Linked DNA regions of Anolis sagrei. The protein of the gene in region 2 interacts with the protein of the main gene of each other region in a pairwise test. Links are inferred from orthologs where the notes say so. Each region holds a gene or a part of one and is shown on either strand. Other genes may lie near its edges.

Region 1 (8,072 bases), on a different chromosome or scaffold from region 2:
GAATTTCCTGACTGTAAGAGCCATTCAGCAGTGGAACTCTCTGCCCCGGAGTGTGGTGGAGGCTCCTTCTTTGGAAGCTTTGAAACAGAGGCTGGATGGCCATCTGTCAGGGGTGATTTGAATGCAATATTCCTGCTTCTTGGCAGAATGGGGTTGGACTGGATGGCCCATGAGGTCTCTTCCAACTCTTTGATTCTATGATTCTATGAGGGCCAGCTAACACCTCCCAACAAAGCATTCCCTCCAGGCAGGTAGAAGCCAGGCTTTGAAGCTGCAAGGCCATTCAATGCTAATCAAGCTGGCCAATGGCAATATTCACACTTGCCTCCAACAGACAAGAGTTCTTTCTTCCACCCTGGGCATTATTTCACAGATATATAAACTCCACTTTCCTACTTTCCAACAGACCTCACAACCTCTGACGATGCCTGCCAGAGATGTGGGCGAAACATCAGGAGAGAATGCTTCTGGAACACAGCCTGGAAAACTCACAGCAACCCGATGCCGTTAATATTGAATTATGTTTTTTTAAAAAATTGGTTTAATCGTAAACCGCTTTGAGTTTCTTTTTTAGAGAGAAAAAAATGGGTAATAAATAAATAAATAATAAACAGGTTTTACCATCCTGTGGGAGGTTTTGCTCATGTCCCTGCATAAGAAGCTGGAGCTGACAGATGGAAGCTCACCTCGCTTCCCGGATCTGAGCTGCCAAGCTTTCAGTCCACAGACTTGCCGGCACAAGGTTAGGGTCGCTGGGGGCTCTTTCTTTCTATGGTGATGATAATAATAATAATAATAATAATAATAATAATCCTGTTGTATTCCACCTTGAGTCACAGTATTAGTATTAATATCAATTACTCTCCTCTTCTTGTGGCTTGAGGTGGGATACAACAGGAGTAAACAGCATCTCTCTCTATGATAACAATAATAATAATAATAATAATAATAATAATAATAATAATCCTGGGTTGTTGTAGGTTTTTTCGGGCTATATGGCCAAGGTCTGGAGGCATTCTCTCCTGACGTTTCGCCTGCATCTATGGCAAGCATCCTCAGAGGTAGTGAGGTCTGTTGGAACTAGGAAAATGGGTTTATATATCTGTGGAATGACCCGGGTGGGACAAAGGACTCTTGTCTGTTGGAGCTAGGTGTGAATGTTTCAACTGACCACCTTGATTAGCATATAATGGCCTGGCAGTGCCTGGAGCAAACTTTTGTTGAGAGGTGATTAGGTGTCCTTGTTTGTTTCCTCTCTGTTGTTGTGCTGTTGGAAACTAAACAAGTCTGTGGAATAATGTCCAGGGTGGAAGAAAGAACTCTTGTTCTTTCACTACCTCTGAGGATGCTTGCCATAGATGCAGGCGAAACGTCAGGAGAGAATGCCTCTAAACCATGGCCATATAGCCCAAAAAAACCCACAAGAACCTATATTATGTATATTTTATACTTAATTTTATATTATCTATATATCATTTTTATATATAATTTTTATATATTAGATTATATTATATATTTTATATTTAATTTTATGTAATATATATATAATATAAAATTAAATATAAAATAATTTTTATATATTATATTATATATTTTCTATTTAATTTTATATTATCTATATATAATTTTATATATAATTTTATATATTATATTATATATTTTATATTTAATTTTATATATTATATATATTATGTATATTTTCTACTTAATTTTATATTTATATATAATTAATATATATATTTTATAATATATTATATATTTTATATTTAATTTTATATATATTATATATATATATATCATAGGGAATCATAGAATCATAGAATCAAAGGGTTGGAAGAGACCTCATGGGCCATCCAGTCCAACCCCATTCTGCCAAGAAGCAGGGATATTGCATTCAAATCACCCCTGACAGATGGCCATCCAGCCTCTGCTTAAAAGCTTCCAAAGAAGGAGCCTCCACCACACTCCGAGGCAGAGAGTTCCACTGCTGAACGGCTCTCACAGTCAGGAAGTTCTTCCTCATATATATATTATGTATATTTTATACTTAAATCTATATATAATATATATATTACTTGATAAGGCCAATTGGCTAATCAATAAAATTGTTGTTATTATGTATATTTTATATTTAATTTTATATATTATATATATTATATTTAATTTTATATTATCTATTTTATATATTATATTATATATTTTGTATTTAATTTTATATTATCTATATTATATTTTATATTTTATATTTAATTTTATATATTATATATATTTTGTATATTTTATATTTAATTTTATATTATCTATATTATCTATATCATATTATATTTTATATTTATATTTAATTTTATATCATTATATATATATAATATTTAATATTATATATTATATATATAATATTTAATTTTATATTATCTATATTATATTTTGTATTTAATTTTATATATTATCTATATTATATATATTATGTATATTTTATATTTAATTTTATATTATCTATATTATCTATATTATATTATTTTTATATTTTATATTTAATTTTATATTATCTATATTTTATATTTAATTTTATATATTATATTTTATATTTTGTATTTAATTTTATATTATCTATATTATATATATATATAATATTATATTTTATATTTAATTTTATATTATCTATATTATATTTTATATTTTATATTTAATTTTATATATTATATATAATATTATATTTTATAATTAATTTTATATTATCTATATTATATATAGACAATATAAAATTATCATATTCTTATATATAATATTGTATTGTATTATGATGCCACAATAGAATACACTCCCAACATATTATACTATTGGTATTATTATATTATATTATATTATTATAATATTATATTATATTATATATTATGTATTATATTATGATGATGATGATTGTACTATCTCATAAGATGTGAGAGAAATGAGAGAACATAGACATGATAGAAAGAGATGGTAGAGGCATCCCAAAGGGCAGACCTTGAGAGTACAGTTGTGTAGTGAAAGAGATCCCCTTGCATCATGCCATTGAATAGAATGGGACTTGAGCACCCGCGGATATGGGGGACCTGGGACCCAACCACCGCGGATACCGAGCCCCACACCCTCCTTCCCTCTCCCTGGATCTGGGGAAAAGGTGAGCCAAGCCTTACCAGGGAGAGCCACGTGGGGGGAGAGTTTTGGGGGGATAGGAGAGGAGAACCCCAGATGGAGAGAGCTCTGGGGCATGTGCAGAGTGCCTTACCTGCTGCTGCTGCTGTGATCCTGGCCGAGGGGCTCCCCTTCCGAAACCCTTGAACATCTCAGCCTTGCCAATGAGGCTCTCACGCTCCCAAAGAGCTCTTCTAGTCCCCTTGACTGCTTTTTTTATGAATGGGGACTCCCGGACCACGTTACTCTCACTCACTTTGGGGGTGGCCGAGATGGGAGAGAAACCAAAACAGCCATTCAGGCTTTCTGGCTTGGGGTTCCCAGCCTCGTTTGTGGGAAAGGGAGAGACCCCGTCCCTGAATGCCCACTCCCTGTCCAAAAGGATCCCTCTCCGATCCACAAATGAGGATCCCCTGAGCGGCGGTTCCCCCCATTGCCGAGAGCCGCTTGGTTCGTTCCAAAAGGTGACTCAGGGGGCGGTGACGTAGATGCCCTTACATGGCCTTGGTTTCTTCCTGTTGGGCTGGCCTGGGAAAGGGTTCCCCTTTGGGCAGGTTTCCCACCTGCGCCTTTGATTGGAAAATAGGTTTCGCTTCACAAGCCTCCTTCCAAGAGGCAGTGGGCGCAATTAATTAATTAATTAATTAATTATTGCAAGTAGACTCTCAGTTAACCGGCATCCAAGCAATGAGCTATACAGGTCAGTAACCTACTCTGTTATGTCTGCTTATGCTATTGAATCAATGGTAGTATAATATATATTTGTGTGCATATGTGTATGTGTATGTATATATGTATGTATGTATATAATTATATACAATCATATATATATTATGTATATTATATATTATGTGTATGTATATCTATATATTATAATATTATACATTATATATATAATATTATATATTATGTATATTATATATTATGTGTATGTATATCTATATATTATAATATTATACATTATATATATAATATTATATATTATGTATATTATATATTATGTGTATGTATATCTATGGACTGACCTTGAAGGAGCTGGGGGTGGTGACGGCCGACAGGGAGCTCTGGCGTGGGCTGGTCCATGAGGTCACGAAGAGTCGGAGACGACTGAACGAATGAACAACAACATGTATATCTATATATTATAATATTATACATTATATATACAATATTATATATTATGTATATTATATATTATGTGTATGTATGTCTATATATATTATATTATATATATTATGTGTATGTATGTCTATATATTATAATATTATACATTATATATACTAATATATTATATATATTACATATTATGTGTATGTATGTCTATATATATTATATTATATATATTATGTGTATGTATGTCTATATATTATATTATATATATTATGTGTATGTATGTCTATATATTATAATATTATACATTATATATACTATATTATATATTATGTATATTATATATTATGTGTATGTATGTCTATATATATTATATTATATATATTATGTGTATGTATGTCTATATATTATAATATTATACATTATATATACTATATTATATATACTATGTATATTATATATTATGTGTATGTATGTCTATATATTATATTATATATATTATGTGTATGTATGTCTATATATTATAATATTATACATTATATATACTATATTATATATACTATGTATATTATATATTATGTGTATGTATGTCTATATATATTATATTATATATTACATATACAATATTATATATAATGTATACTATATATATTACATGTATGTATGTCTATATATAAATCATAATATTATATATAATATATACAATATTTTATATATATATATATATATATAATGTGTAGGTATGTCTATATATATATTATAATATTATGATGTAATGCAATATAATACAAATACTAATAATATGATATTATAATTATCATAGTAATATTAGTAATATTACTAATATGACAATATAATGGTATAGTACAATATAGTAATATTTAATACTGATATTGTACTATGCTAATAATATAATATATTCTATTTATATATATCTTGTAAGCTCTGAGTTCCCTTAATGTCGTGAATAAATAAATCATATATATATATATATATATATACACACACACTCTCTCTCTCTCTCACACACACACACACACACACACAAATTATGAAAATAGACCTAACATATTAGACTCTCAGTTAACTGGCACTCATGGGTTTTGGGAGATGCTGGATAAATGCCATTTCTGGTTGCTTGAGAGTTACTATAAAATGGCCCTAATATCACAGACTCCCAGTTAACCGGCACCCATGGGTTTTGGTAGATGCTGGATAAATGTCATTTCTGGTTATTTGAGAGTTACTATGAAAAATAGACTTAACAGACTCTCAGTTAACCAGCACCTATGGGTTTTGGTAGATGCTGGGTAAATGTCTTTTCTGGTTACTTGAGAGTTACTATGAAATATAGACTTAAAATACTCTCAGTTAACCAGCACCTATGGGTTTTGGTAGATGCTGGATAAATGTCATTTCTGGTTACTTGAAAGTTACTATGAAAATAGACCTAACATATTAGACTCTCAGTTAACTGGCGCCCATGGGTTTTGGCAAATGCCAGATAAATGTCATTTCTGGTTGCTTGAGAGTTGGTATAAACATGGACTGAACATAAAGACTCTCAGTTAACTGGCACCCCATGGGTTTTGGTAGATGCTGGGTAAATGTCTTTTCTGGTTACTTGAGAGTTACTATGAAATATAGACTTAAAATACTCTCAGTTAACCAGCACCTATGGGTTTTGGTAGATGCTGGATAAATGTCATTTCTGGTTACTTGAAAGTTACTATGAAAATAGACCTAACATATTAGACTCTCAGTTAACTGGCGCCCATGGGTTTTGGCAAATGCCAGATAAATGTCATTTCTGGTTGCTTGAGAGTTGGTATAAACATGGACTGAACATAAAGACTCTCAGTTAACTGGCACCCCATGGGTTTTGGTAGATGCTGGGTAAATGTCTTTTCTGGTTACTTGAGAGTTACTATGAAATATAGACTTAAAATACTCTCAGTTAACCAGCACCTATGGGTTTTGGTAGATGCTGGATAAATGTCATTTCTGGTTACTTGAAAGTTACTATGAAAATAGACCTAACATATTAGACTCTCAGTTAACTGGCGCCCATGGGTTTTGGGAAATGCCAGATAAATGTCATTTCTGGTTGCTTGAGAGTTACTATAAAATGGATCTAATATTGCAGACTCCCAGTTAACCGGCACCCATGGGTTTTGGTAGATGCCAGATAAATGTCTTTTCTGGTTGCTTGAGAGTTGCTATGAAAAGTAGGCCAAATCCCCAGTTACTCCATGCCGAGAGACACGTGTTCGTCCTGCCGGCCTGATCCAGATGGCATTCAGGAGGGTGACTCACAAACTCGTGGGCCGGCAAGGCAGGGAAATCCCCTATTTTCCCCCTTTGGAGCCCAACCAAGGCGGGGAAACCTCGACCGTGAAACTCACTCTCACCCAGGGAAGCCAGCATCGAACTGCATCAACTAGTCAGTGCAGAAAGAGTGCATCTGTACGATGAATGCAGTTTGACTGAGCATGTACAGAGTGACGAGAGCCATGTTTAAATATTAGGAAGGATATTTCATTGAGCATTGAGGTTAATCAGAGGCTGCGTGGCCATCTGTCGGGAGGGCTTTGATGATGTCTTTCTTCCTAGACTGGATGGCCCTTGGGGTCTCTTCCAACTCTAATATTCTATTGTCATCATATTTGATCATAATTATAATTATGGAGTATCATCTGGAGGTTATTCAGCAGAGGCTGGATGGCCATCTGTTGGGAGGGCTTTGACGGTGTCTTTCTTCCTGGACTGGATGGCCCTTGGAGTCTCTCCCAGCTCTAATATTCTATCATCATCATATTTGATCATAATTATAATTATGGAGTAGCATTTGGAGGTTATTCAGCAGAGGCTGGATGGCCATCTGTCGGGAGGGCTTTGATTGTGTCTTTCTTCCTAGACTGGATGGCCCTTGGAGTCTCTTCCAATTCTAGTATTCTATCATCATCATCATCATCATCATCATCATCATCATCATCGTATTTAATCATAATTATAATGATGGAGTCTCCTCTGGAGGTTTTTCAGCACAGGCTGGATGGCCATCTGTCAAGAGGGCTTTGAGTGTGTCTTCCTTTCTGTACTGGATGACCCTTGGGGTCTCTTCCAACTCTAGTATTCTATCATTATTATCATCATCATCATCATCATCATCATTATCATTGTATTTTATTATAATTATAATGATGGAGTCTCCTCTGGAGGTTATTCAGCAGAGGCTGGATGGCCATCTGTTGGGAGGGCTTTGATGGTGTCTTTCTTCCTGAACTGGATGGCCCTTGGGGTCTTTTCCAACTCTAGTATTGTATCATCATCGTATTTTGTCATAATTATAATGATGAAGTCTCCTCTGGAGGTTATTCAGCAGAGGCTGCATGGACATCTGTCAAGAGGGCTTTGAGTGTGTCTTCCTTCCTGGTAGAAGGGAGTTGAACTGGATGGCCCTTAAGATCTCTTCTGTCTTTACGATTCTTTCATAATAATCTTTGACGATGATGGAATCTGCCTCTCTGGAGGTTTTTCAGCAGAGGGTGATTGGCCATCTGTCAGGAGAGCTTTTATTGTGTCTTCCTTCCTGGAAGAATTGGGTTCGAACTGGATGGCTCTTGGAATTTCTTCCATCTTTGTGATTCTTTCATAATAATCTTTGATGATGGGACCTCCTTCTCTGGAGGTTTTGAAGCAGAGGCTGGATGGCCATCTGTTGGGAGGGCTCTGATTGTGTCTTCTGGTCTCGCAGAATGGGGTTGGACTGATGGTCCTTTGGATCTCTT
Region 2 (8,373 bases):
CACAGTTGCACAAGGTGGAGGATTCTTCTAGGTAGTGCCATTTTGCTAGGTTGTCTTTTGTTTTGAGTCTGTTCAAGGACTTCCAAGTTTCTCATTCTTGGTTTGCCCTGGAAGAAGACCCTCATGGGAGGCATCCAGTTGGAATTGCCTGATTTTTGCTGCCCACAGGGATACTCTTGCTGTTGCTGGGGGAACGTTAAGAGGAGTGGTGGTTCTTATGAAACTTTTCCTTGATTTGAGTCTGCTGGGAGGAGACTGATAGCCATATAGTGGGTTTCCAATGCCGAGCGGAGATTCAAACCTTGTCTCTAGAGTTGTAGTCCAACACTCAAACAACTACATCACACTGGCTCCAAATTAGTTGAGGAACTATATACTTACTTACTGTTACTAACAGTATGTACTCATGTATAAGTCTAGAAATTTAAGCTAAAATTCAAACCAGGCCAACTTATCTATGGTTCCATGTAAGTACTACCTTAATTCTTACACAGCCCAATGAAAAAAATAATTCTTGGTATCTTGGTTTTTAATTGGGTTGAATTTAAATGCATTAACTTGCTTTACTGCATTTGGTTCTGTGCTCAATTAGTGATTAGTAGTCTTCCATTACATGGGTAAATTAGGAGCCCCCGGTGGCGCAGTGGGTTAAAGCACTGAGCTGCTGAACTTGCTGACCAAAAGGTCACATGTCCAAATCCAGGGAGCAGCGTGAGCTCCCGCTGTTAGCCCCAGTTTCTGCCAACCTAGCAGTTTGAAAACATGCAAATGTGAGTAGATCAATAGGTACTGTTCCCAGTGGGAAAGTAATGGCGCTCCATGCAGTCATGCTGGCCACATGACCTTGGAGAAGTCTACGGACAATGTCGGCTCTTTGGCTTAGAAATGAAGATGAGCACCAACCTTTACCCTTTACCTTGGTTTTTAAGTCTGTTCCTGGAATTATTTGGAGTGCTGATTAAGAAAACTACATTGGATAGAACACATCAGCTCTAGCTTCTCAGATTTGTTTATCATGGTTTTATATAGTAAATGTCAACTGGTAGATGCCATCTGTTCTGTCTCTCAAAAATTGGAACTGAAGCATCGACAGGGGGAATCAGCAGGTCAAATATACCCACAAACAGAATGAACATTTGAGCGCCAAAATGTGTTTTGGCCATTGTTGTCATTAAAGACAACATCCCCTTCTCTGACTAGAGTGGTTAAAAGCAAGAGCTTTAGTCCATTCTGGGAGAATCTAACAGAAGCACCGACTCTATCTATTCTCTCTGATATAGAAACAATTTTGGTATTTATGAATGACTGAGCAGAAAAATGATGGCCAAGGATGGTCAGCCCCCAGGAGGCAGCATTGAAACTTTCCCCTTTCCGTTGAATGAATAAAAATCAATTATTTTGGTCCCAAAGCCTACTCATGACTTATACATATGGCCAGCATATACATGGGAATATATTGTACTTTCGTCCCAATGAAGAATCCAAAACTGGCTAACAGCACCTATTAACACCAAGTTTGGCTAAAAAAAGCAAATGACCTCAAGCACAGATGAACAAATTTAAAAGAACTTTTCAAAAGGTAGTCACATTGAAACCAACCACAGGATTAATATGATGTAAAAGCATTCGAAACCTAAAGAGTGAGGGAGTGCAACACCCACTTTTCCTTCTTTCAGAAGCCCTGCACCTCAAGTACATTTTGCAGAATGAAGTGACAGGTGGTTTTTCATGCTACTGTTGCATCTGTTACATTCCTGTATGTCAGAGGGGCCTACAGAGGGGGAAAAAAATAGAAATTTACTATTTCTCTGTCTTCTAGTTTCTTTCAGGGTGGGCCCATTTTGCTGAGGAAAAGGACAAGTTACTTTCCCTTTCCAGCAGCCTACACCAGGCAGTTTTATTTTAATTCAACACTTTTTTGCTTTACCACCCTTGAGAGCAACTATTTCATCTGATTCGCTGTGTGGCACACACTGGATTGCTCCCCGAAGAGAGAGGCCAGGCTGGGAGACTCACAAGGAATGGCAAGAGCAATTTCCTTCCCTGTGTAGAAGTTGAATTGTCAACCTACTCATCACTTCCAGAAAGAGACATGTTTGTAAGCAGCTGAACTGGATCCCAGTCCACATCACAGTACATCACGGTACAATTCAATATGTTGGTTTTAAAATTTAATAGCCTTTCTGGCTGGGCATCCTTCATTGAGGTTGTCTTCCAAAGTTCACTTCCAGATGCCTGCCTTTGGATGATGAATTCAGTGATAACGGGCGCGACTGGTGATGGTGACTAGGGCTGGATCTACACTGCCCTATATCCCAGGATTTGATCCAAGATTATCTGTTTTGGACTGGATTATATGAGTCCACATATTCTGGGATCAAATCCTGAGATATAGGGCAGATCCAGCTGTAGTGCCCTTCCACACAGCAATATAACACAGAATATCAAGGCAGAACTTCCCACAATATCTGCTTTGAACTGGGTTATTTGAGTCCATACTGCTATATATTCCAGTTCAAAGCAGATCATGTGGGATTTTATTCAGCTATGTGGAAGGAGCCTTCTTAGGGCCCTTCTGCACAGCCATATAACCCAGAATATCAAGGCAGGTCACTTGATGGCCTGATAGGTGTATTGTGTCCAAATTTGGTGCCAATTCATACAGTAGTTTTTGAGTTATGTTAATCCCACAAACGAACCTTACATTTTTATTTATATAGGCTAGCCATCCCCTGCCATGCTTTGCTGTGGCCCAGTCTGTGTATATGTGTGTATATATTTGTGTATATTTGTATATGTGTATGGTTTTGTGCATGTGTTATAATTTTTTTGTTGTTTTTTGGCTTTTTAAGTCCCTTCCACTGTGTTTTTCAGTGTTTTATGAATGATGGTCACTAGTTGGCCTGATAGGTGTATTGTGTCCAAATTTGGTGTCAATTCATCCAGTGGTTTTTGAGTTCTGTTAATCCCACAAATGAACATTACATTTTATTTATATAGAAGATTAGCTGTCCTCTGCCACACGTTGCTGTGGCCCACATGGGGGTTCTGTGTGGGAGGTTTGGCCCAATTCTATCGTTGGTGTGGTTCAGAATGCTCTGTGATTGTAGGTGAACTATAAATCCCAGCAACTACCACTACCAAATGTCAAGATTCTACATATTTTCCCCAAACTCCAACAGTGTTCACATTTGGGCATATTGAGTATTTGTGTAGAGTTTGGTCCAGATCCATCATTGTTTGAGTCCACAGTGCTCTCCAGATGTAGGTGAACTACAACTCCCAAACTCAATGCCCACCAAATCCTTCCAGAATTTCCTGTTGGCTGTGGGAGTCCTATGTGCCAAGTTTGGTTCAATTCCATCATTGGTGGGGTTCAGGATGCTCTTTGATTGTAGGTGAACTATAAATCCCAGTAAGTACAAATCCCAAATGTCAAGGTCTATTTTCCCCAAACACCATCTGTGTTCATATTTGAGCATATTGAGTGCTTGTGCCAAGTTTGGTCTAGATCCATCATTGTTTGAGTCCACAGTGCTCTCCAGATGTAGGTGAACTTCAGCTCCCAAACTCAATGCCCACCAAACCCTTCCAGAATTTCCTGTTGGCTGTGGGAGTCCTATGTGCCAAGTTTGGTTCAATTCCATCGTTGGTGGGGTTCAGGATGCTCTTTGACTGTAGGTGAACTATAAATCCCAGCAACTACAATTCCCAAATGACAAAATCAAAACTTTTTGAGTGAAGAACAAACATTGGGTTGTTAGGTATATGCTGTCCAAATTCGGTGTCAATTCGTCCAGTGGTTTTTGAGTTCTGTTAATCCCACAAACGAACATTACACTTTTATTTATATAGATAGATAGAAGATGGCAACAAAAACAATGTTATGCTTGGTGGTCACCACAACATGAGGAACTGCATGAAGGGGTGGCGGCATTAGGGAGGTTGAGAATCACTGGTGTAGATGCACCCTCTGAGAACTGAACCGGGCAAGTTCAGACCACATCTGGAATACTGTGTCCAATTCTGGGCACCACAATTCAAGAGAGATATTGACAAGCTGGAATGTGTCCAGAGGAGGGCGACTAAAATGATCAAGGGTCTGGAGAACAAGCCCTATGAGGAGCGGCTTAGGGAACTGGGCATGTTTAGCCTGAAGAAGAGAAGGCTGAGAGGAGATATGATAGCCATGTATAAATATGTGAGAGGAAGCCACAGGGAGGAGGGAGCAAGCTTGTTTTCTGCTTCCTTGGAGACTAGGACGCGGAACAATGGCTTCAAACTACAAGAGAGGAGATTCCATCTGAACATTAGAAAGAACTTCCTGACTGTGAGAGCCGTTCAGCAGTGGAACTCTCTGCCCCGGAGTGTGGTGGAGGCTCCTTCTTTGGAAGCTTTTAAGCAGAGGCTGGATGGCCATTTGTCAGGGGTGATTTGAATGCAATATTCCTGCTTCTTGGCAGGGGGTTGGACTGGATGGCCCATGAGGTCTCTTCCAACTCTTTGATTCTATGATTCTATGAAGTGGGACAGACTCCCTTTCCCCTCCAGCCTGTTTCCAGCTTCCTTCCCTCCAAACCCATCAAGCTGGGAGATAGTTTCCAAGATGACTCACAGGGCGAATGGCAGCGCGTCCAGGCTGTCACCCATCCCCAGCCAGGCGGCAAGCTCTTGCTTGCGCCGCTTCCCCTTTCCGACTCAGCCCTCCTCCTCCTCCTCCTCCTCTCTTTGCCTTGTTATGGAAAGCCGGTGGGCGTGGCCGATCCTCTCCGAAGCCCCGCCCACATCCCCGCCCCCGCCCCGCCCCCTTCCCTCCAAGCCGGGACCGCAATGATTTAGAAGTTCAGGAATCCCACGTGACGTCACGGAGGGGTGATGTAATGCTTCTCTAAATAGATCGTATTGTAACCTTCGCGCAGTCCAACGTGGTTCCTCCGCTCGGGCTGTTGGTCCCTTCGCCTTGCACTTGTTGGGTAAGTCCCGAAAAAGACCCAAAGCGCTCCCGGCTGGGTGCTTTCTTGCCTTTCTTCCTTTTTCTCCCCGAACCCTGGAATGTTTTGAAAACTCCTGAAGTTGTGGCTTTTGCAGAAAGAAAGATTGGAAGAGTTGGACTTTTTTGTTTTTTTTACTTTATTCAGCGACAGGGAAGGAAGGGAGAAGGACAAACGCTGAGCGGAGAAAGAGGCCAAAGTAGAGTAAAGGGAGCTTTTATTTCCTTTCGTGTTGTTTCTCGCGCGTGTTTCAAGGCGATGGGTTGGAGGGTTTGCCGCTTTGGGAAGATCTGGGAAAGGGGAAGATGCGGCCAAAGCTCCCCCCCCCCCCCAAGTGTCATTCCATGGGAATCAAACCCTTTGGAGTCCCATCAACCTGGCCTGAAAGTTTGGAGGCGCCAAAAAAAGCACCAGGAAGACCCCACGCGTGGGCTGAGCCCCTTCCCCTTCTAAAGGCTGCTTTAGTTGGAGAAGGCGCTCTGTATACGCTCAGGAACAGTTTACTCGACTTGGCGTCTCTTGCCGCCTTGTTTCGGGAGACCCAACCTAAGTTGTTGTAGGTTTTTCTGATTATATGGCCGTGTTCTAGAAGCATTCTCTCCTGACGTTTCGCCTGCATCGATGGCAGGCACCCTCAAAGACCTCGCAATGGCCTGAGCCCCTTCCCCTTCTAAAGGCTGCTTTAGTTGGCGAAGGCACTCTGTATGCGCTCAGGAACTGTCTTCTCGCCTTGCCATCGCTTGTCGTCTTATTTCGGGAGACCTAACCTAGGTTGCTGTAGGTTTTTCGGGCTATATGGCCATGCTCTAGAAGCATTCTCTCCTGACGTTTCGCCTGCATCGATGGCAGGCACCCTCAAAGACCTCGCAATGGCCTGAGCCTCTTCCCCTTCTAGTTGGCGAAGGCGCTCTGTATACGCTCAGATACAGCCTTCTCTCCTTGCATCGCTTGTCGCCTTCTTTCGGGAGACCTAACCTAGGTTGTAGCTTTTTCGGGCTATATGGTTGTGTTCTAGAAGCATTCTCTCCTGACGTTTCTCCTGCATCGATGGCAGGCATCCTCAAAGACCTCACAACCTCTGAGAATGCCTAACACAGATGCAGGCGAAACCTCAGAAGAGAATGCTTCTACAACATCGCCATATAGCCCGAAAAACCTACAACAACCCAGTGATTCCGGCCACCAAAGCCTTCGACAATACATTAGCCGTAACCTAGGCTTGCCCCCCCCCCCCTTTTAAGGCAAAGAGAGCTGTCAATATTTGGGGTGCATGACTTATTGTGAGTTTCCCGGGCTGTATGGTTGTGTTCCGGAAGCATTCTCTCCTGACGTTTCGCCTGCATCGATGGCAGACTTCACAACCTCTGAGGATGCCTGCCACAGATGCAGGCGAAACGTCAGGAGAGAATGCTCCTAGAACATGGCCATACTGCCCGAAAAACTTACAACAACCTAGTGATCCCGGCCATGAAAGCCTTCGACAATACATTAGACCTAACCTTGACTTGCCCCTCCCCCCTTTAAGGCAAAGAGAGTGGTCAACATTTGGGGTGCATGATGGGAGTTGAAGTCCAAAACACCTGAAAGGCCCAAGCTTGCCCATGCCTGGCCTAGATGCATCCAAATGTATTGTCGAAGCTTTCGTGGCCGGAATCACTGTTTTGTTGTGAGTTTCCAGGGCTGTATGGCTATGTTTCATAAGCACACTCTCCTGACGTTTCGCCTGCATCTGTGGCAGGCATCCTCAGGGGTTGTGAGGTCTTTGAGGATGTACTGTCGAAGGCTTCCATGGCTGGAATCACTGGGTTGTTGTAGGTTTTTTGAGCTATATGGCCATGCTCCAGAAGCATTATTTCCTGGCGTTTCGCCTACATTTATGGCAGGCATCCACAGAGGTTGCGAGTTCCGAAAAATCTACAACTCTTTGAGGATGCCTGCCATTGATGCAGGCGAAAGGTCAGGAGAGAATGCTTCTTGGACGTGGCCATACAGCCCGGAAAAGTCACAACAAACTAGTGATTCCGGCCACGAAAGCCTTCGACAATACATTTGGGTGCATCTAGCCTAGGCATGGGCAAACTTGGGACCTTCAGGTGTTTTGGACTTCAACTCCCATCATTCCTAACAGCCTCAGGCCCCTTCCTTTTCCCCCTCAGCCGCTTAAGCGGCTGAGGGGGAAAAGGAAGGGGCCTGAGGCTGTTAGGAATGATGGGAGTTGAAGTCCAAAACACCTGAAGGTCCCAAGTTTGCCCATGCTTGATATCAATGCTATGGAATCATAAGAGTTATAGCTTGACCCGATCTTCTTTGGGACTCAAACTTTTCGACTGCGGTCCACCCCCTTGGGCTGTCAAACCCCGGCGCTGTTGTCGATCTATCTATTTGGTTGCTAGGCGGTTGCCTGGCTCTGCTCCTCCTGCCCCCCCTCCCCTCCCCTCCCCTCCCCCCGGGACCGGGTCGCCCCCGCCCAGTCTGACATTATCTTTGGGAGCCTGGGCCATGACGTCATGCTGCAGGCGAGCGGGAGAGTCCGGGGCTGATTCAGAGGCGCCGAAGACCGGGGCTCACGGGGAACGAGGCAGCCGGGGAGGCTGAGCCCAAGCAGGGCTTACCTGGGCCGAGACCAAGGCCAACCCCGGCTGGGTCCTTGGCTGGGAAGGAGGGAGGGAGGGAGGGAGATCTCCCCGCTCCACGCCGCTTTCTCCCGCGGGAGAGCCTGGGCGCGTGGGCGGGGGAATACCTGCTGGGTCCTGCGTCCCGATCGCCTCTCGACAACTTCCCGGCAGCAAAGGCAGGCGTTTCTTCCCTTCCTCCCAATCCGGCGCTGTTGCACCAAGGGAGCAGGTAAGCGACGCTGGAAGTTTCTCCGGTGCGCCAGCGACGGGATGAGGAAAAGTTTCTGAAGTCGCTACAGTCAAGTTGCAGTGCTCGCGAAACGGAGTTTCCTTGGACTCCCTTCCTTCCTTCTCCACTCTTTCCCTCTTCCCTTCCTCACTCTTTCTTTCCTAGCTCTTCCTTCCTTCCTTCCTTCCTTCCTTCCTTCCTTCCTTCCTTCCTTCCTCACTCTTTCATTCCTTCCTTCCTTCCTTTCCTGGTTAGTTAAAACTGTTGGAAGACATTGTACCATGCCGGTGATAGCTTTCTTTCCTAGCTCTCTCTTCTTTCCCTTCCTCCCTCCCTTTCCTTCTTTCTTTCTTCACTCTTCTTTACTTCCTTCCTTCCTTCCTTCGTTTCCTGGTTAGTCAAAACTGTTCGAAGACAAACCAGTTAAGGCATTGTGCCATGCCAGTGATAGCTTTCTTTCCTAGCTCTCTCTTCCTTCCTTCCTTCCTTCCTTCCTTCCTACCTACCTACCTACCTACCTACCTTCCTTCATTTTCCT

The links.
Region 1: the proteins of CREB5 (region 2) and FOSL1 interact in binary tests that used the Homo sapiens proteins (3 or more experiments, as listed by UniProt). The two-hybrid records come from large-scale screens. The link is inferred for Anolis sagrei from reciprocal best matches to the Homo sapiens genes CREB5 and FOSL1.

What each region holds. Positions count from the first base shown.
Region 1 is NC_090032.1:9,501,393-9,509,464, forward strand, and holds the start of FOSL1 (fos-related antigen 1), read right to left. Parts: upstream 3,435-8,072; 5' UTR 3,323-3,434; coding exon 3,266-3,322; intron 1-3,265.
Region 2 is NC_090026.1:90,392,461-90,400,833, reverse strand, and holds the start of CREB5 (cyclic AMP-responsive element-binding protein 5), read left to right. Parts: upstream 1-4,885; 5' UTR 4,886-4,973; intron 4,974-5,104; exon of another isoform or gene 5,105-5,190; intron 5,191-7,516; exon of another isoform or gene 7,517-7,835; intron 7,836-8,373. UniProt on the Homo sapiens protein: Binds to the cAMP response element and activates transcription.